Linked DNA regions of Macaca mulatta. The protein of the gene in region 2 interacts with the protein of the main gene of each other region in a biochemical or structural test. Links are inferred from orthologs where the notes say so. Each region holds a gene or a part of one and is shown on either strand. Other genes may lie near its edges.

Evidence for each region. The genes of interacting proteins can lie anywhere in the genome.
Region 1: the proteins of NCK2 (region 2) and LIMS1 form a complex in vitro, tested with the Homo sapiens proteins (4 studies listed by BioGRID and IntAct, with this or other methods). The link is inferred for Macaca mulatta from reciprocal best matches to the Homo sapiens genes NCK2 and LIMS1.

The regions. Positions count from the first base shown.
Region 1 is NC_133418.1:19,219,179-19,229,679, forward strand, and holds the start of LIMS1 (LIM and senescent cell antigen-like-containing domain protein 1), read left to right. Parts: upstream 1-4,141; 5' UTR 4,142-4,381; coding exon 4,382-4,563; intron 4,564-9,541; coding exon 9,542-9,701; intron 9,702-10,501. UniProt on the Homo sapiens protein: Within the IPP (ILK-PINCH-PARVIN) complex, binds to F-actin, promoting F-actin bundling, a process required to generate force for actin cytoskeleton reorganization and subsequent dynamic cell adhesion events such as cell spreading and migration.
Region 2 is NC_133418.1:13,838,153-13,848,829, forward strand, and holds the start of NCK2 (cytoplasmic protein NCK2), read left to right. Parts: upstream 1-5,120; 5' UTR 5,121-5,347; intron 5,348-10,677. UniProt on the Homo sapiens protein: Adapter protein which associates with tyrosine-phosphorylated growth factor receptors or their cellular substrates. Maintains low levels of EIF2S1 phosphorylation by promoting its dephosphorylation by PP1.

The DNA.
Region 1 (10,501 bases), about 5.4 Mb from region 2:
CCTCCCAAAGTGCAGGGATTACAGGCGTGAGGCACCGCACCCGACCACCACCTCAACTTTCCATGGCCACACTGTTACAGATCCTTATTCAGAGTAGTAGGGACATAAAAACAACCTTGTTCACTCAGCACTGGGCACCAGACTATACACTGTATACTCATAGAAGCAGAGGCTATGACTTTTATTTATTTATTCATTCATTCATTCAGCAGATTGTAGTATCTTCTACTGATGGTGGGCTGGATACTTCTTAGGTACCACACTGGGCCTATTGCATCATGGGCACATAGTAAAAGTTCCATATGTCCAGGAATGATGTAAAGCCAACAGTGGAATAATGCGAGCAACTGTTTTTCGAGAAGAAATAGACTTTACCAGAATGCCAAAATGGGCTGCTAAAGGAAGGGCAGCCCATCAGTGCTGTCACCAGCTCCTGAAACCCCAGGGCTTGTTTACTCCTACCATTGCAGTGGAGGACGTGTCTGAACCTCCTGCTTGGCTTTACCTGCCACATTAGCTCCTTCGTTGTTTCAGTGTAAGTAGCTTGGGTAATGTGCAGAGAATTTCTTTGCCTTGTGTTATTTATGCTGAGAATCAGCTGGTTGGGTGGTCAGTTCCTAGGGAGAAGCTAATGGGAAGGTGATCTATACAATGTGATAGAAGACAATCAAGCTTTCTTGCTGCATCTTTTCTTCCTTCAGAACTTCAGCCTCTCTTCTCCCGCCCGACTCCCATTAGGATACTCCGAAGTGAAAAAAAGGCCAAGAGGAGAGAATGAGATCGAGCAAAATTGTAAACAAAGGAACAGAGCCACAAACCTATTTTACATTCACATAAAATGTTACATTGATTGATAACAGTTTAAAAATATCTTCATAGTATATGGTACCTTTGATCATAAAACCAGGTCATATTAAGGTGACCTCTATTGAAGAGTTCTGTTTAGGGTCACTGTGTGCCAACCACCCTCATTAAAATAGTCACAGATGTAGGTAGAGGAAACCAGATAAAAGGAAGATCTCTATCTGCTTCCCCCTAGCAATCCTTACCTAGCATAACTTAAGAACAGCCAGATGGAAGAGATACATGGGGCAAGGTGTAGGGAAGCAGCAGAGCTTCTCTCCTCTGGGAGCGCCACCCTCCCAGCACCTCCATATGTTCAGCAACCCAGAAGTTCCCCAAACTCTATCCTATTGAGTTTTTATGGAGGCTTCATTTCATAGGCATGATTGATTTGATCATTGACAACTGGTGATTATCAAAATCCCCAGCTCCTCTCGTTTCCAAGGGGTTGGGGCTGGAGCCGGCAGTTTCAGCCTTCTTATTGCATGATGGGTTCTCCAGCAACCAGCCCCACACCTGTCACATTAGCCTGCAAAAGACACGTACCACTTCAGAGAGTCAAGAGTTTTCGGAGCCCTGTGCCAGGAAATGGGGGGGCAGAGACCAATAATAGATTTATTATTAAAAGTCACAATATCACAGGCAGTTTCTTTAAAACTAAACATTCACTTACCGTACAACTCAGCAGTTTTACTATTGGGCATTTATCCCAGAGAAATAAAAATATATGCAATACAGAAATGTCTATAGTTTTATTCACAGTGCCACAAATTGGAAGGAAAGTACTTAAATGTCCTTCAGCGGGTGAACGGTGAAACAAATTACGCATCCATGTCATGGAATATTACTTGGCAGTAAACAAGAGCAAACTGTGGGCATGTGGAGCAACTTGGTCTCAGGGCATTGTGCTGAATGAAAAGCCTTAAGATGTCACGTGAACGATTCCATTTAGGTAACATTCTTTAAATAGCAGAATCATAGAAATGAAAAACAAAGGAGTGGTTGCCAGAGGTTAGGAGTGTTGCAGTGTGCGGAGGTATGTGATGGTCAGAGATAACATGAAAGAGAACTCTGTGGTGATGGAATAGTCCTGTAAGTTGATAGAGGCTGTTGTTACAGGAAGCCACCCGTGTGATGAAATGACAGAGACCTGCACACACACGTTGCAGCAATGTCAGATTCCTGGTTTTACTCCTGTACTGTAGTCACGTAACATGATAACTGGGGAGACTGTGAGGGAGAATTCTAAGCAGAAGGCTCACGTGGCTTCCTGCCTCCTACCATGCCACCTCCACCGGATGCATTAAACTTACAGTCTGAGTCAGCCTGCCTCTGTCCTCATCCCTCTGTCTGTCTGTCTCTTTCCCTCCCTCCCTCCCTGCCTCCTCACTGTTTCACATGGTCATTATAAAAGAGAAACCTAAAAAATTAGGAAATGTAGATAAATTGAAAGGAAAAATTTTAAACCATGAGGTTGTTTCTTTCTTATTTAAATATGGTGATTCCCTTGGGCCTGGGCAGGATCTGTAGCCCGCAGCCTTTGAGTTCTGGACCCATTCTGTGAGATTTTTAGGGTTCAAAGTAGAAAGATTTGGTCCCACTTTCTGCTTCCAGTCCTGTCTGGTACCCGCTGCCTAATCTTTTCTGGCTAATTGTGCTTCCCAGTAATTATGTTTACCATTTTCTGACATAGGGATTAACAGCATAGGCTCTGGACTCAGAGTGCCTAGGTTTAAGTCTTGACTCCACTACCTCCTTAGTAGTTCTTCAGTCTCTTTGTGCCTCAGTTTCTTCATTTGTAACTACCACCTATCTCAGAAGCCATGGGAAGGATTAAGGGCCGTGGTAGGAAGCACTCACTGACTCTTGGATGTCATTATTTATGGTCATTACTTGGTGTCTCTACTGCATTTTGTTTATCCGCTGCCGGTTCCGTGACTGCCCATCAGTGTGCCTTGTGCCTGTTCTGTAGATTTTATTTCACAGTCTCTTGGTTTTGGTGGGTGGCACACTGCCCTGAGAGGACGGGGACGTGAGAAGGATTCTGAGCCCTTTAGTTGTCTCTAGTGCTACATCATGATTGTCATCATTGCTGTAAACCAAAAAGTATCTGAGACAAGTCTTAGTCGATTTAGAATGTGTGGTTTGCTAAAGTTAATGACACACCCATGACACAGCCTCAGGAGGTCCCGACAACATGTGCCCCAGGGTGGTCGAGGTACAGCTTGCTTTTATACACTTTAGGGAGACATGAGACATCAAGCAATGTATGTAAGATGTACATACATATATGTTCGGTTCAGTAAGGCGGAGCAATTCGAAGTGGGTGGGGGGTTTCCAAGTCAAGTAGGTAAGAGACAAAAAGTTGCATTCTTTTGAGTTCTTTATCAGCCTTCTAATGAATACACAATTGTGTGTGACTCAGTGAACCTACATTTTTACATGAACAATAGGGTAGAGGAAGCAATCAGATACGCATTTGTCTCAGGTGAGCTTCAGAGGGATGACTTTGAGTTGTGTCTGTCCTTTGTCCATAAGGAATTTTCTTGTGGGCAAATGGTGAGGAAGGGATGTGGGTTGTTATCTTTGTAGCTATCTTATTTAGCAATAAAATGGGAGGCAGGTTTGCCTGACGTAGTTTCCAGCTTGACTTTTCTCTTGGCTTAGTGATTTAGTTTCCTTTTGCATTGCTAACTCAATCACAGGAGACAGGAGTGTGGACTGATTATAGCAAGAATGCCAGAGTATGTAACAGCTTCCTTAGTCATGGTAGAGATTGAGAAACGTCAGCTCACCTAAGCTTTGAGGTTAGCTGGAGTCCAGTAGAAGAGTTATAACTAAGCACCGGCCCTTGTCTGTTTCCACTGGTGCCCATTCATTGAAGCTGAGATTGGACTGTGACTATGTACCAGTAGCAAAGGTGATAGAAGTCAAACATTGCTGTTAGTTTTAGGGGCTCACGGCCTGCTGGGGAAGGGACCCATCGGGCATAGCTGGCAGTCATGGCCAGGGTTGTGGAAACCCAGGGCCAGGCAGGGTTCAAATGCTCCTCAGAGTGTGCCAGCAGCCTCAGCCTCAGGGAGAGCTTGTCAGGGGGTGTTTTACAAGGTCTCCAAAAGCCTCTTATGCCCTTCAGAGTGAAAAGCACGGCATTGGTGATGAAGTCTTGTGGCAAATATGCAAGGCACATGTGGATATTTCCTTCTCTTGGAGGCTTAGGAGGTAGCCCCTGTCTCCTAGTGCAGTGTTTATAGCATAGTCCACTGGGACTGCTGCTCTGACAGACTGTGTCACTATTTTGTGGAATGTTTTTTGGAACTTCCAGAAAGCCTCAGTAAATCCTGACTGCCATGTAACTGTCCTGTGCTGCTGAGCTCTTAACATGAAGCAGCAGCAGTGACCCTGGCGGGTCGGGCTGACGTGCGTGGGAACGGTGGGAGTGACCCTGGCTGGGAAGCAGGGAGGCCTGGATATTGTTTCTCCTGGCTCTGTGTCCTGCGGCTCTCGTCCCTGTGCTCAGAGCTCGCAAGCACCCACGATGGCCTTCTCAGGCCGAGCGCGCCCCTGCGTTATCCCAGAGAACGAAGAAATCCCACCAGCGGCCCTTAACAGTGTCCCTGAGGCCAATGGGACCGAGGACGAGAGGGCTGTCTCCAAACTGCAGCGCAGGCACAGTGACGTGAAAGTCTACAAGGAGTTCTGTGACTTTTATGCAAAATTGTGAGTGTCTCCTCTCCTGGAGTGCCCTCTTCCAGGTCGGGCGTTCTTGGCTGGCTGTTCAGGAGCCATCCTGAGCTGGCCCATACAATTTTATTGACTGGACTTTGAGTGGGAGTTTTCCAGGGTGGTAGGGCTCTGAGGGGCTCGCAGTACAGCACGTTTAGGGAGACAGGAGGCTCCTTGTCGGTAAGACATGCAGCGACACGCAGATGGGAGGGAGGTGCTGCCCTCACTGAGAGCACCGCGGCCCCGTCTTCAGTAGATTCCTGATCACTTGGTAGCTGCATTTTCATCATGTCGTCCGCAGGGGAGGCTTATCGTTGTCGCTGTCAGGAATTACATTAGAAAAATTCTGCACTCTAAAACAGCCCAAAGATAAGGGGCAGATGGGTTGGAACAGTGAAAAAAACAAATTACAGACTGTTTAAAGATAAATATTTTTGTTATGTGTAACAACAGTTTGAAGTAAGCTAACTGGGTTTCTTAATTGAATGAATAAATACATACATTGTATAAGTAGCAAATCAATACACATATAGAACATACTGTTAACTCGAAAAAGCTAGGCTAATTTATATTATTAAATGGGTTTTAGTAAACACATTTTTTGAGAAAATGCAGAGTAGCCATCAGACCAGCTCAAGATTATTGACCTCATTCAAAGTTGTGAGCTTAGAATTACTGCATATCCCCAATTTGTCAAGTAAGAGTTAATGAGAATTTAACTGACCCGGTTCTCTACTTCCATAATCCGTTCTCTGTGGTACAGATGTCACTTATCTTCACAACTCACCGAGAGCTCTTGGTCAGTTGGACAGTAACTGGGGAATTGTAATAATACAGTCACCAATTTTTTCACTGCTTGAACTCTCAAGATGATTTTTGGATTTATACATTGCTGCATTTTAGGACCAAACAATTTGTTTTGCACACTTGAATAATGGAAAGCAAGATATCAAGTGTGCTGTGTGAGGTTGATTTGTGGAAGTAGATCAGCTTCATCAGTCATGCCTGGCCTGATTTTTACATATAAATATCTATAGATAGGTAGATACTTCCCCACTTATGTATTTCTTGTCATCAACAGTTTTTAGTGAAAATCTTTTTTTTAAAAATTAGCTAATTAATTATAACTAATCCGATAGCTATAACTGTCACTAATGACTTTTTTAAAGTAATTTCTGTCATCTGTATTAAATATAAAATCAACATTTAAAAAAAATAAAAAATAAAAAACAGGCATTGTGCCAGAGGGTCAAAGGCAAAAGAGGAAAGGGAAGCCTGACTGGTTCAGGGGGCAGCAAGGGGATTGTTCTGTTTCCTTTTTTCCTCTGCTTGTTATAAAAAGGAATACTTCTTGCAAAATACATATTATGTTACTTCTAAAACTAGCGCATTTTTCCCGTGTGTGGGAAGTAACTATGTGCTTGTTTTTATGATGTAGCTACCTATTTCCTAATTCTACTTGAGTATTTGAACTTAAGTAGAAACAATCTATATTATAATGAGTTTAAACTGGTCAGTGATAATCAAACATTTTCATCTAAGGGCCTCTTAACACTTAAAAACTATTAAGGTCTTCAAAGAACTTTCATTTATCAGTATTTACTGTATGAGAAATTTAAACTGGGAACAATTTAAAATACTTATTATTTCATTTAAAAAAAAACAATAAGCTTATTACATGTTAATAGCAAATGTTAATATTAATGTTTTCATGAAAAATAACTGTTTTCCAAAATGGAAGAGGTTTAGAGGAAAGGATGGCATTATGTTACATTTTTGTGAATCTTGTTAATATCTGTCTTTTTTTTTTTTTTTTTTTTTTTTTTTTCCTTTGAGACGGAGTCTGGCTCTGTCGCCCGGGCTGGAGTGCAGTGGCCTGATCTCAGCTCACTGCAAGCTCCGCCCCCCGGGTTTACGCCATTCTCCTGCCTCAGCCTCCCGAGTAGCTGGGACTACAGGCGCCCGCCGCCTCACCCGGCTAGTTTTTTGTATTTTTTTAGTAGAGACGGGGTTTCACCGTGTTCGCCAGGATGGTCTCGATCTCCTGACCTCGTGATCCGCCCGTCTCAGCCTCCCAAAGTGCTGGGATTACAGGCTTGAGCCACCGCGCCCGGCCGTTAATATCTGTCTTAATAAAAGTTTCTCATATTTGTTTCTGCATTCAACCTATTACGGTATATTGTTTTAGATGAAATATATGAAGAAAATGTGGCCTCCCACAGAGATGTAGTTGGAAAACAGAGGAGCTTTCCACCTCCTGAAAGAGTCATGGTGACCCCGACATTTTGGAAACCACTGATTTAGGTGATAATGAGCCAGGACATTCTAGAATATTCTTTTTGGGCTCTTTTAGAGTCCCATTAAGATTGTTGAGGTTTGGTGAATCTTTTGAGAGGGTTTAGAATTAACCACAGTGCCATATATTTGAGCAGCATCTTCTGGTTTCCAAATGGTTTTAAATACTTTTTCCTTGGAACAATAATGAGAACAGTACTGAGAATGACCAGGCAGGTGTGGAGCTTACCATGTTCCTCCATCCAGGAACACCTGTGGACTTTGGTCAGGAAGAAGGAAGAAGCACAGACCTCTCCAGAGTTTTGTGAAACTGCCACAGTCATCTGGCTTGTGGCAAAGCTGGGCGATGATGAGAATTGTACAGATTTTTTCCCCAGCCCACAGGAACTTTGAAATGACAAAATGGAAATTCATTTTAACATGAGGCTTAGGCCAGGTTTACTGAGCAGTGAAGCTGCTTCCCTTTCTCCCTTCCTTCCTTTTTTTTGTGACATTTAATTCTGCATTCAAACCTGTTAGATAAAGTTGATCTTTGACTGGTCTGAAGTGATGAACATGGTGTGTCTACACGCAGTTATTTATGGCAAGGCTACAAAACGGGCTGACTGTTTTGTGAAACATTTGTGGGAGGAAGGCAGAGGGAAAGTTGTCTTCCAGAGGTGTGGAGGGGAGTGAAGCAAGTAAGTGGGACCACTTTTGCTAAGGAAACAGCAAAACTTGGAAACCAATAGGGGCAAGGCAGTTAGTTACTCTGTCTATAGAATGGAGACTGTCCACCTGTCTGTCTCACTAGTTGGTTGTGAAAATTCAGGAGAAAGTTGGTAATAACTTCATGAAGTACATTGATTAAATATTTGGAAGGTCAGAAGCTGTACCAGCGGACTAGACACACAGGTGTAGAGCTCATGCTGTGAGTAGTTCTGTGAAAATAAACTGGCCAAAAATTGAAGGACCACTTGACCAGTTCCTGCCCTGCATGGGGGACCTTCTCCCTACAAATAGGTCTTCATGTGAAATCCTGATCTAATTGTATGCCTGTCGAAGCCGTGTTGCTTTTCTTTTCTTTTTTTTTTTTCCTTTTTGAAATGGAGTTTTGTTCTTGTTGCCCAGGCTGGAGTGCAGTGGTGAAATCTCGGCTCACTGCAACCTCTGCCTCCCAGGTTCAAGTGATTCTCTTGCCTCAGCCTCCCAAGCAGCTGGGACTACAGGCATGCACCACCACACCTGGCTAATTTTGTATTTTTATTAGAGACGAGGTTTTACCATGTTGGTCACACTGGTCTCGAACTCTTGACCTCAAGTAATCCATCGGCCTCAGCCTCCCAAAGTCCTGGGATTACAGGTGTGAGCCACCTCACCCAGCTGCCATGTTGCTTTTCTTCTTGCAAACTGCACAATGGTTAGAGCCTGAGATTATTTATTGAATGCCTTCTGTGTTTTAAGGTGTAGTGGGGTTACTGATGGGGGGATTTCCCACACCACCAGCCACAACAGTGGTTACTTGACAGCCTGGTATCACTTTCCTAACCATGAAACGTGATGGTATCCCTGTCATGTCCTTTCAAGTGTTTGAAATTCGTGGTGTAATCTGTTTTGATTGAGAGTGTGATTTTATGAGCAGGGAACCTGGATTTCTAGTCCCGTGCCTTCCTTTAACTAATTAGCCTTGTGATGTTGGTCTGATCCTTCCATCTCTGTGAACCTCTTTTGCCATCTGTAAAATGATCTTTATTATGTAAAATTTTGTGGTTTTAAGATACACTTTATAATACTGGTAATCAGGTTCGTCTTACCGATTAGGGAACAGGACCGGGGCATCTTGGCTGGTTTTAAGGTTACTTAAGCAGTTGCTTTCCACAGAATTTAATCAAAGGGGTAACCTGTGTCTAGGTTATATGGTATGGCATTTAGTTGACAAGCATTTTAGATTCTATTCTTAGAAGGGAAAGAAATTGGCCTTGAGATGCTGACTTTTGGATTTTTTTTTTTTTTTTTTTTTTTTTTTTTTTTTTTTGAGAGGGAGTCTGTCTCTGTCGCCCAGGCTGGAGTGCAGTGGCCGGATCTCAGCTCACTGCAAGCTCCGCCTCCCGGGTTCACGCCATTCTCCTGCCTCAGCCTCCCGAGTAGCTGGGACTACAGGCGCCCGCCACCTCGCCCGGCTAGTTTTTTTTTGTATTTTTTAGTAGAGATGGGGTTTCACCGTGTTAGCCAGGATGGTCTTGATCTCCTGACCTCGTGATCCGCCCGTCTCGGCCTCCCAAAGTGCTGGGATTACAGGCTTGAGCCACCGCGCCCGGCCGACTTTTGGATATTTTAATTAAGCTTCTTATAAAGCTGTAAACCAAGTTCCTTGAGAGCAGCTTATAACTTTCATCTCTGTCTCAGGTGCCTAACACATAGTAGGTACGCACTCATAATATATTTAGCAAGAAAAATGCCAAAAATGTTAGAGACAGAATCAAAGTGGGACACCCTTACAGAGCCTCAGATGCTAGGGTAGAGGCTGAGGAGTCCAAGTTCAGAGCACGTAAGGAACAAGCGAAAAACTAAACTTTTTAGATAAAATAGGGTTTTTGTGATCAGATAGAATTCGCTGCTCACGGTTCTTGGTGTGGTTTGGTCTTCAATCTAAGAAGAGGCTGACGGTCTGCAACCTGCTGTTCTTTGTGTGTTACAGCAACATGGCCAATGCCCTGGCCAGCGCCACTTGTGAGCGCTGCAAGGGCGGCTTTGCACCCGCTGAGAAGATCGTAAACAGTAACGGGGAGCTGTACCATGAACAGTGTTTCGTGTGCGCTCAGTGCTTCCAGCAGTTCCCAGAAGGACTCTTCTATGAGGTGAGTTGTGCTAGACAAAAGCAGGGAGGTGCCATTCCCCGCCCTCCCGCTTCCTGCCCTTCTTTTCTGAGGCCTCCTCCTTCATGTTCAGTTTCATGAGGAAAGACTGAATTGAAGTGTCAGATGCATGCCAGGTATTTGATAGCTATGAGGTCAGAGGTGGAATCTGTATGGCCCATATGGACAGTGGCATGGATGGGACACCCTCACAAACCCTGCATTCATATTGCTCAGTTCGTTGTCCTATTTCAGAACCCAGAGTCCCTTATGACAGAGCCTTTCAGACCTAAGCAGCTCAGCTCCACATACAAAATTCTTTCCGAGTCTTCACCCACACTCAGGCCCCCAACACACCTCACCCATTCCTGTCTCTGTGTCTGTCCCCCTTCTCAGAGGACCACTGGACCCGCTCTAAAGGACAGTGTGTGCTGTACGTCACCCCCTCCACAACTTCCCAGCCTCGAGCCAGGAGCGTCCATGCATTTATTTTCTAAGGAAAAAATAAGTATTTTAGGGAACTAGACTGTCTACATTTATCTACATTTAGCTCTTCTGGGTGTGTATGTTCTTTTCCAAATACTTGTTTTTCTTGGCCGTCAGGTGTTAGCATATGGTCTGCACTTCCTTTGTAGTGTATTTGGTATTCTCAACATTACTGAAACCCCTTTCTCGTTGTTTTGTATTGTTTTGTTTTGTTTGAGACAAAGTTCTATTGTATAGCCCAGGCTAGAGTGTAGTGGTATGATTATAGCTCATTGCAGCCTTGAACTGCTAAGCTCAAGTGATCCTCCAGCCTCTGC
Region 2 (10,677 bases):
ATTTAACAAATGTACAAAAGCAAAACTGTTCATCCCTCACAAGCCAGTCCTCCCCACTTTTCTATTTGGGATCTTGGCACCGTTATCTTTGTGGATGTGGGCATCCAAAGCCTCAGGTTATATTTGTGCCCCATTCTCTTTCTCTTTGGTCCCCCGTATTCAAGCAGCTGCCAATTCATTTTGAGCCTCCTCCTCCATTTCTCCTAAAACACTTTCCCATCCATTTGCAGTTGGGGTTATGAACTCTCTTAGAAATGCGAACTTTTGTCTGCTCTTCCTGTCTCCAGCTGTCCTTCCGTGCATGTACCAATTGTGTCTTCCTGGGCTGAGCCCAGATGATGTCCACACGTAACCGCTTTCCTTCTTGGCCTCGCGATCCGCTCTGTGCAGTCTCTGCTCCATTTAGGCAAGTGGGCCATTCCCTGTCCCTACGGGGTCCTCCCACATTCCCCTGTCTGCCTCAGGGTTCTGAGCTGCCGCCACTGGGAATTTTCTCCCTGTCTATCTCCACCTTTCAAAATGCTACCATTTGCATTATTCAGGGGTTCGGGTTGCAAAAAGAGAAAGTGCCTCTGGGTACCTTAAGCAGAACAGGAGAATTTACTAGAAGAATATCAAGTAGCTCACAGGGGAACTGGAGAGCAGAAGGGGTGAGAATGGAGCTGGCTCACTCCTGTGGGAGGGACGTGCTGGGACTATTTCAGCTATGGCAAATTGAATTTCACCCTCCCTTGTCCTTGTCACCCTCTCCAGTTTCACAGTCTTGAGTGGGAGGGTTCCACTGGCCAATTCCAGGCTGTTCATCCTCACAGGGCTTCTGGGAATGGAGAGATTGAGGTGCCCACTCTGCCTCCCTCCAGGGTTCAGACAGGTCTCTCTAAAACCGGGAAGGGGCTAGACCCGGGGCAGCCCAATTAAAGGCAGCTTCTCACCATGTCATCTCTCAAGGTCATTGCCAATGCCACCACCTTTCATAAAGCCTAAAGCCTAAATCCTCTCCCGATTCTCCAGACATATTTTCTTCGGTACTGTTCATATTTAGTTTTATATTATAGTTATTTGTATGCTCGTTTCAACCTTCTTTTTGGATCTTTCCTTTCCATTTCTCCTAAACTATTTTCCCATCTGTTCACTCCACTCCAGTTTGCGTTATCACCTCTCTGAATAATGCAATCTTACATCTGCTCTTTGCACATCCAGGTGTTCTTTGGTATCTGCATCAAATGAATGAATCCTGAAGTGGACCTTATAATGCCTTACAAATAGAACTACACCAGATATGCTTCATTGAATTGATGGTTAAGAGAGAAGGTCATGAGAAAGCAGACATGAGTGTTTACCATGTGCTGAACACACAGTTGAGACACGTTTACATTATCTCCTTTAATTCTCACAACGTTTTGCAAGAGCACTATTAATATCTGAGGCTCAGAGAGGTGAAATGATCCCAAGGCACGGGCTTGAAGGTAGGCTTTGAGCCTCTGATGTCTGACTTGGACAGCACCCTCAACCTCACTTTGTGTTTTCCATGAGTCCAAGGAGGGATTAGAGAAAGCCTTGAATGGAGATCTGAAAGAGAAGGAGGGGGACAGGGAATTCCTAACCGCCTTCACACCACAGAAGGCTGAAACTAGTGTGATTCAGTGTGGCACTGTGGGCAGAGCTGAGTGACTGAAGCAAACAGCTTACACTGGACAGAGGTAAAAAGGAGATTGTATGGCAGGACTAAGTTTGAGAGGCCTTTGGAAGAGAGGTCATAATGCGTAATGCTAATGTGATTTTAGACAAAAGTGTACTACACCTCCTTCCACTCTATGTTTTTTATGCTTTCAATACTTTGTGATTGAAGACAGTAAAACAGGTGTGGACACATTAATGGAATAGAATGCAGGAAAACCTGTATAGTTTTAGATAAAACATAAGCTTCAAAGAAATGTCTCCCCCATATTAAGCCTTCCAGTGGGTTGGATGTTGGCCCTAAAAGATATGTTCACCTGGAAGCTGAGAATGTGACTTTATTTGGAAAAAAGGTCTTTGCAGATGTTGTAAGATAAGGATGTCGAGATGACATCATGCTGGACTACAGTGAGCCCTAAATTCAATGGTCCTTGTCTTTACAAAAAGAGAGAAGGGAAAGGACACAGGGAACCAGGTTGTGTGAAGACAGAGAGGCAGAGGTGGGAGTGACGCTGCCACAAGCCAAGGAATGCCTGCAGCCGCCAGAAGCTGGAAGGGGCAGGGAAGGATTGTCCTCTACAGCCTTCGGAGAGAGGCTAGTGTCTTGATATCAGACTTCTGACCTCCAGAACTTTGAGAAAATAACCTCTGTCACCCAGTTTGCGGTCATTTGTTAAGGCAGCCCCAGGAAACTCACACAGGCCACTCAGGGCTAAATCCCCCAGCCTCCCCGGGGGAAAATGCTCAGTCTTCTGTCATCACATAACTTTTGAGGAGACCGTGGTGGGAAATGGGGAACCATGAGAAGTTCTTAAGCACAACCACCGGCAAATGGAAGCAATTTATAGGAAGGTTAGGATGACATTGACGTCCAGTGCAAATCTGAGGGATTTAATAAGTAAGTAATGGGAGACCAGTTGGAAGGCAGTTGTGGGGAAATGAACAAGAGTTTTGGAGTCACGTACTTGCAGTTCTGACCCCAGTTATTTGATCCACTGATCAAGTGATTTCATCTGTAAAATGGGGACAATACTATTGTGTGTGGATTAGAGATGATTTATGTCAAGAATTCAATCAAGATACTTTATAAGCATTGCTAGGAATGATGTATAAGTTATGATGCCAGTGATGGAAATGGAAAGAAAGGTGCAGTCAAAAAGATGTTTAAGAATCACCAGGACTCAGAACCATGGGGGTGGACTGAAAGGGGTCTTAGTGTCATTCAGCGCTCTCCTGGCTTTTCTTGGGGAGAACTTGGAGAGAGGGAAGGAAAAGCCAAGATGACAATGAGGTTTCTCCCGGGAGCTGAGGTGCCTGGTAGACTCTTGGCCAGGCCTGAAACCATGGGAGGAGGAGCTAGTCTGGGGAGGAGATGAGTTTCATTCTGAACATGGTGACCTAGAAGAGATGCTGGGCCATGTGTAGGGAGTGCAGATTAGCTGGGGAGCTCTCTAAGACTACGGGGTCTGGGAGTTAATCAATGAAGGTTTAGACAGGGAGTGTACAAAAAACAATCAACTCTCTCTTAAAAAAAAAAAAAGGTGCATATCAGAATAAAAACAAAGGACCACCATCTGCCTTGGGGATATTACTTTTAGAGGGTGGGAAGACAACAAACTCTCTAGAGGAGGCAGATGGGTAGGTCAGAAAGGTAAAAGAATCAGAACTGGCTGTGTTTGATGAATGAAAAGATGATGGTGTTTCTGGAAATAGCAGAAATGCCACATACTTCAGAAAACTGCATAGGATAAAGATTGATAAAGGGCCACTGGATGTAGATAGATAATGACATCGGTGACTTTCTAAAAAATCAGAGAAGGAAGAGGCACGCAACAACCACGATTCAGTGAAAGTTTACAAAGCAAACCAGCTAGAAACTGGGTCAACATTGTTATACTTATTTTGAGTAAATTAATTTAAAATTGGGCAGACTGATGACTAGTATTCTTCTTTCCTTATTGTAAAGCTAGATATTAGTAACACGAGGCTTGCACAAAAGGATGAACTGAAGTAGCTTCTTTCACAGGATCAAAACAAGGAAAAGGGAGGCTGTCCTGATTCCCTGAGCTTGTACCTGATCCCTGCTCAGTGTACTGTGCCTTCTTCCACTTACTGAGCTATTGAGGGCTACCTACTGCCAGAGTCCTTCACATAGGAGGTAGGTAAATATTATCTCCCCATTTGACAGATGTTAGAAAGGCTAAGACCACCTGTGCAAGGTTACACAGTTCAGGAAGTCAACAAACACTCACCTGTCTGACTTCAAAGCTACACTGACTCTAGTTACCTGTCCTTGGGTACTTCCTTTCTGGAAGGAAGCAGATGACTGAATCAAATAATACTGCCTTGTAACCTTGGATAAATTATTATTGTCTTAATAGTAAGCAGAGACCAGCAGCCTAAGAAAGAATCTCATTAACATGGATGCAGGCTATCCTGCCAGGAAATCAGAATCATTTGAATATTAGGATTTCCTTTGGGAAACCATATGGGGAGGAGAAAAGACATCCGGATGCATGTGTCTGTGAAAGGGAAACTTGCGTCTTTCCCCTTGCTTTTGGGTTTTAATCTTCCAAGTTTGTTTATAGGCTAGCCACAACTTGAGGCTGGGTGAGCTGAACAGTCCCATCATTAGCGACACTCCTTCTAGGGGCACATTCGGGCAGCTCCTCTTCGGATCCTGTCCCCATGGGTGTGCAACCAGGATTCCACTGGCTGGGGCTGGCCTGGATGCCTGGGAGGCAACAGAGGTCGAGTTTCTTCTCCCTTTAGGAAGTGCCTCAGACAGGGATGATGGACTAAAAACGTGTCTGGTTGGGAAAGTAAATAGATGCAAGACAAATAAATAAAAATGCCCACAAGCAATTACAAGGAGGAAGTGACATTTTTATTTAAGTCACTTTTCTGATGGACACCAGGCCTGCTTAGCTGAGTGCCGTGGGAATGCTTCCGGGAGGGGGGCGGCTGCCCAGCAACTACAGCTTCGCGATAAGGACATCAAACAAACAAACAAGAGGACGCAAAGCCCACCCGGCAGGCATCCCAGGCTGGAAGTTGCAGCCTATGTTTTCACTCTCCTCCCCACCCACCCAGCCTGCCCCCCACCGCCCGCGCGCAATTTCGGGCGTGGGGACCCTTTCCTGTCCCCGGCGCCGGGCCAGTGCTGCGCCTCCAGAGCGGAGCGTCCCGCAGCCCCGCGCTATACCCGCGCCCGTACCGAGACCCGGGCGCGGAGCCTGGCGGCGCCGGGGGGCGCCCCAGGTGGGTCTCGGGTCCCCGCCCCGCCCCGCGTGCCCGGGCCTGGGCCGGCCCCTGGGCGGCGTCACGGCGCTGCCGGGGAGGAGCGCGGGAGGAGGAGGAAGAGCGCGGAGGAGGCGGGCGCTGCGCGCCGGGGGAGGGTCGCCGCCGCCGCCGCCGCCGCCGCCGCCGCCGCGGGGATCGTCAGGCCGGAGCCGCGCGGCCGAGCGGACGGCGGGCGGAGGGGAGGGCTCGGCTGCGGGGAGGCTCGCGGCGCCCGGGCCGGCGGGGTCCGCCCGGGCCGGCAGCGTCCGCCCGGCGGCGGGAGGAGGGAGCGGCGCAGACAAAGAGCGGCGCCTGGGCGGGCGCAGCGCGGCCGCCGCCCCGGGACCCGCGCCGCTGCCCTCCGGCTCCGCGGGCGGCCCACAGCGAGGTAAGCACGGCCAGGCGGGCGCGGGGAGGGGGCCACAAACTTGGGGTCGTTGGGCGGAGTTGGGAGCGCGGCGGGGCTCGTGGGCCGGGGTGCGCCCGGGAAGGGGCTGCGAGAGCGGGTCGCCTCCGCGCCCCACCGGTACTCTCGGCCCCGCCGCGGCCTGGGCGCCCCCGACTGTGGGCTGCCGGGCATCTCCCGGCTCGGCACCTTCCTGCCCGCCTTCCCATCCCCAACCCCCACCATCGCGGCCCGGCGCAGAGGCGGGGACGCCAGCCAAGGGCGCGGGCGGGGATCAGGGCAGGGGGCCCGGCGGCGGGGCCCGGGGACTGGAGACCCCCGGGTGCGCAGGCTGCGCCTGGCCTGCGGGCGGGCGGCTGGCACGGAGCTCGGGGCTAGCGTGGGACCGTGCGGTGGCCAGGGTCGCCAGGGCGCGTGTGCCGGGGAAGAATAGCCGCGGATCGCAGGGCCCCGGCGCAGGGACCGGGGAGGCCGCGATCGGCCGGGAGAACTTAACTGTGTTTATTACAACTATTTATGATCGCGCACAAAGCTGCTGTCACATCGCATAAAGGAGGTCTTCGCTTCGGCGAAGGGAGCTTTTGTGCCCGGCTTCAGGCTCTGCGCCCTGCCCCAGATTTACAGGACTCTTACAGCCACCTGAACCAAAGTTTCTCACAACCGCTCGGCCCTCTCGGTGTTTTTCAGGGCGATTTAATCACCCAGTGGTTTTGGAAAAATTTGATGTGTGAGTTTTAAGGCATGGACGGTAACTCCCTTATGAGCACAGTTAGCTTGGCATTGTGGGGAGGGGTTTAATTTGCAAAACGCTGTAATTTGTAGACAATAAGGATCTCTGTGAAGGTCTGCGCTGGATGCTAGGGGTCATTGGCTGGTGGACCCCAGGCACCTGACTTAAACTAGTTTTGTAGCAGCTTCAGGGACAAAGCCGAGCGGGCGTGGAGTCGTGTAGTCGGCCTTGGTCACTTCTCACAATTCAGGTTGGCAGATTCCTCTTTATTTGGCTTTGTTTATTTTGCCAACAGGTTTAAGGCCGCTTCTGCCAAGTTTGCATATGCATAATGGGATGAGCAGGCCCCAGTGTGGGCAGGAGGGGGCCTAAAATATCGCATGGGCCAGCTCCATCCCTCGACCCAGAAAGAAACCACCCTGAGAGGCCGGTGGGCGTGGCTTGGTGGGACCCACAGGTAGGGGAGTCCCTTCCTGGCCCAGGCCCAGTCCCCGCTTCTCGGAAGGGATTTTGTGTAGTAATGAAAGTGATTCAGGGTGTTTTTCATGCCTCTGTTTTAGATGTAGTTATCAAGTCTCAAAAGTGACGGAAAATGAAATTAACCTGGGCTGCTTTACCTTACCGAAACGGAACTGTGCTTGTGAACACTCCCTCAATTCACTTTCCAAGCTTCATAGATAAGCAGGTGAATTAGTAACAGGATTCAAGCCTATGCGAGTTTTATGTAAAGAGAATGGCGGTCATCGGACACGTGGAGAAGAAATTGACTTCACCTGGAGATTGGGCTAGACATGGAAGTTTTTTGATGTTTGGAACAGGGATTTCCTGAGAAGCAAGTGTTAACCTTGCTTGTGAAGAAGTGAACACAAGGGAAAATCCTACCTCAGTATATTCTCCCCTGGAGGTTGGTTAGATGTAGTTTTGATTGGAGAAGGTGGCGGAATCTTAGTGGTCTTCTGGTGGCTACTTGAGGCTGAAATGGAGAACTTTAGGCATAGGAAGCTGTGGAGGTGCCTGGCCCACTTCCTGTCCGGGAGGCCTCTCCTGGATTCTGAGCTTCTTTCCTGCTTCATAAACATTCAGGGGGATTGATCATGAAACACTGGATGAAATTGGGTCACAAATTACCATCAGGAAGAGTTGGCTGCTGCATAAGCCCCTCTGTCCACTTGTGGAGAAACTGACCCTGTTAACCGTGGGGCTCGCTGAAGGTGCCTTGCAGGTGGCTGTGCTCAGTTTTCAGGCTTTGTGTTTTGCTTAGGACGCGCTGCATACTTAAATCTTCTTCATCCCTGCTCTCTTTGACCCTGACATATTCCCAGGCTCTGTCATTTACATTTTGGGTTATTTAGCTTTTCCAACAAACAGCAGATCTTATGTACACAGTACTATATTTGAGAAATGCACTATCATCCATTTTAAATACACCGGAAATCTTCCTTGCATGTGCACAGACTGGATAACCTTTTAAAATACCCTAAGACTCCGCGAATGGCGCAGAATGTACTGGAGTCCTTTACTTGATCAGTTGAGCTAGCTTAATTTGCCCTGGCTAGAGCAGGCTGTGCTGCTCTATGGGACACCCATTTTTCTAACTGCTCGGACTGGCTTGCCATGTGCACTGGGGGAGACAAGGCTTGTGGAATTCATTCTCTGACATTAAAAATGAGGCTTAATGACAAGAGCCCAAAATTGCTTCCCGGAACTGCAGGGGAGGATGATGAGCGATGTTTGGGAAAACTGTTTTCACAAGTGAACTGGAAACTCCCCACAACTGACTTCAGAGGCTTAGGAAATTAGTTTTCCCATCCAGAGGGATGGCAAGTGGCACTTCCAAATGGTTTCTCTTTCCTAAAATGTGTGATGGAAGTACTTCATGGCACGTTTTCAAAGGCCCTAAGCTAAAACGTGATTTCATGTGTGTTGTTCCATGCCTGAGTTAAGCCAACTCAGAAGAAGGTCATGATAGCCTTTTAATGGGTTATCAAAAGTATGCAGCTAAAGCAAAAATAGTTTTGCATTTCTTTAGGCCATTTAATAGCACAATTAAACAGTTAGACTCTATTCTTTTCCTGTATTTTCCTTTGAACATATCCCAAAGTATGTTTATTTCTAAAGGTAAATGAACGTTAACAAGTATTACCTCTGCCCAGTGACACACATCCACACACACATGCACTGGCACATACATTCCTACCTCCAGAATCTTATTTCTCAAAACTGTGGAAATGAAAGTTATTTTGATTGAGGTAGCAGTGTCACAGTGATGTCTCACTGTGTCACTGTCCCTGACCAGGCTGAGTCCTGAGTTCTTACTCATCCCAAGGGTCATCTCTTATTTCTTTTCTTCCCCACATCTTATCAACTCCAAACTAGAGGGGATGGCATCATCTTTAAACCTCCACAGCACATTCTTTGTGTCCCTGATTTGTCATGTGTGATATTCTTTCCTACAGGTTTTTTTTTTTTTTTTTTTTAAAGCAGGGTCTCACCCTGTCACCCAGGCTGGAGTGCAGTAGCACGATCACAGCTCATTGCATCCTTGATCTTCTGGATTCAGGCAATCTTCCCACCTCAGCCTCCGAGTAGCTGGGACTACAGGTGTGCACCACCATGCCCAGTGAATTTTTTTATTTTCATTTTTTTGTAGAGGCAGGGTATTGCTGCTTTGCCAAGGCTGGTCTCAAACTCCTGGGCTCAAGTGAGCCTCCTGCCTTGACCTCCAAAAGTACTGGGATTACACGCCTGAGCCACCATGCCCTGCCCTATGGTTTTTTTTTGCCTTCATCTTTTCTTTAATAAATTCTGAACCCCTTGGGGGCAGACTGGTCTTGTCACTTATACACAATGGGTGTGCAACAAATACTTATTGAATATGTGAATATTGAGTTCCCAGCCTGTCAGTATTGGAGCTCTAGCCTCCCACTGAGATTCGAGTGGTACGAGATCTCCAGCATTCTTGTAAATCTCAGAAACTTCTGTCTACTCTGGAAGGCTTTGACCTCAGGATGTTCAGACAATGGGAGAATTTAGTCTGCTGGCCTCTCTGTTTGGCAAATTTTCTGTCACATGAGTCATTTGTAGTCCTGAAGCTACATTTAAAAACAACAACGGCAACAACAGAAACAAAGCCAGACCCATACCCACCTGCGTTACCTGGTGGGCTGGCTGAATGGTTTACTTTTGTAGGTTAGTCTGTTCATATCAACCTGAATTCGAAACGCTGGGCAGAGCATTTGTGATCCTGGCCTGGTAAGTTGGTTATTTGTGTCACCCCTTCTTTCTACTATTGTATTTGTAGTGTTTTTAAGAAAAGAAGCTTCAAGTGCGCTCAGAATTTTAAGTATTGCAGTTGCTTCTTTTGAGACAGTTTTGTGAAGTGGGGTGCTCCTGTTGCCCAATTGTTAGTGAGGACCTAAAATGCCATGATGAGAGAATGGCATGTACTAATGCATGCACGCTCATTCATCGTTTGCAAAGTCCTTTTCACGTACACCATCATTTTAAGAGTCAGAATAACATGGCGCACTTGGTTCTGGCCCTTATTTCTAGGTGGGAGACTAGGGATGACGGAGCTTGAATTTAGGGTTAAGTCCTTCTGCAGGCCGTACATGAGGAGCACCCACGGGTTGCTGGGTAGAGTTGTTTTATCCTGAGACAGTTTATGAAACACAGCGGCCTTGGGTGTCTGCCTTTGCCGTGTCGCAGCTGTGTGTATATTGGCTGAGAAGATTCTGGGTGTGAGTTGACTGAGGTTGAGTGGTGTGAGGGGAGGCCGGTAGTGGTGTGAGAGGAGGCCGGCAGGAGCAATGTCAGTCTCTCTTGTCCTCGCCTCCTGGTTATGGGCCAGGATTACCCTGGAAAGCCTCCTCAAGTTGAGAGAGCTTATTCCTGTTTAGGGCATGTATTAGTCAGCTCCAGCTGCCTTAAGAGAATAAAACACAGAGGCCAGGCGCAGTGGCTCAACGACTGTAATCCCAGCTACTTGGGAGGCTGAGTCATGCGAATTGCTTGAACCCAGGAGGCGGAGGTTGCAGTGAGCGGAGATCGCGCCACTGTACTCCAGCCTGGGTGACAGCGTGAGACCCTATCTCAAAAACAAACCAACACACACACACACAAAGACACACCAAACGGAATGGGTGGCTGAAGCTGCAGACATTTATTTTCTCAGCGTTCTGGAGGCTGGAAGTCCATGGCCCTGGGGCCGGCAGGGCTGATTTCTGTTGAGAATCTCTTCCTGGCTCGTCTTCTTGTGTCCTCGCTCACGTAGCCTGCCTTCTGTGAACGCACTGAGAGAGAGGTCTGGTGTCTCTTCCTCTTATAAGGACATCTGTCCTATTGGATCAGGGCCCCACTCTTAAGACCTTTTTTAACCTTAATTGCCTCCTGAAGTGTCCTGTCTCCAAATATAGTCACTTAGGGGTTAGGGCTTCACCATATGAATTTAGGGGGGACAGTTTAGCCCCTGCCAGTGTGTCTGTCTAGGTTCTACAACAGGGCTGACGCTTTCAGGAAGATCTGGTGCTCCCATCATCCCGATCTCAGATCTGTGTTTATTTGGGGACACCTACCAGGGCTG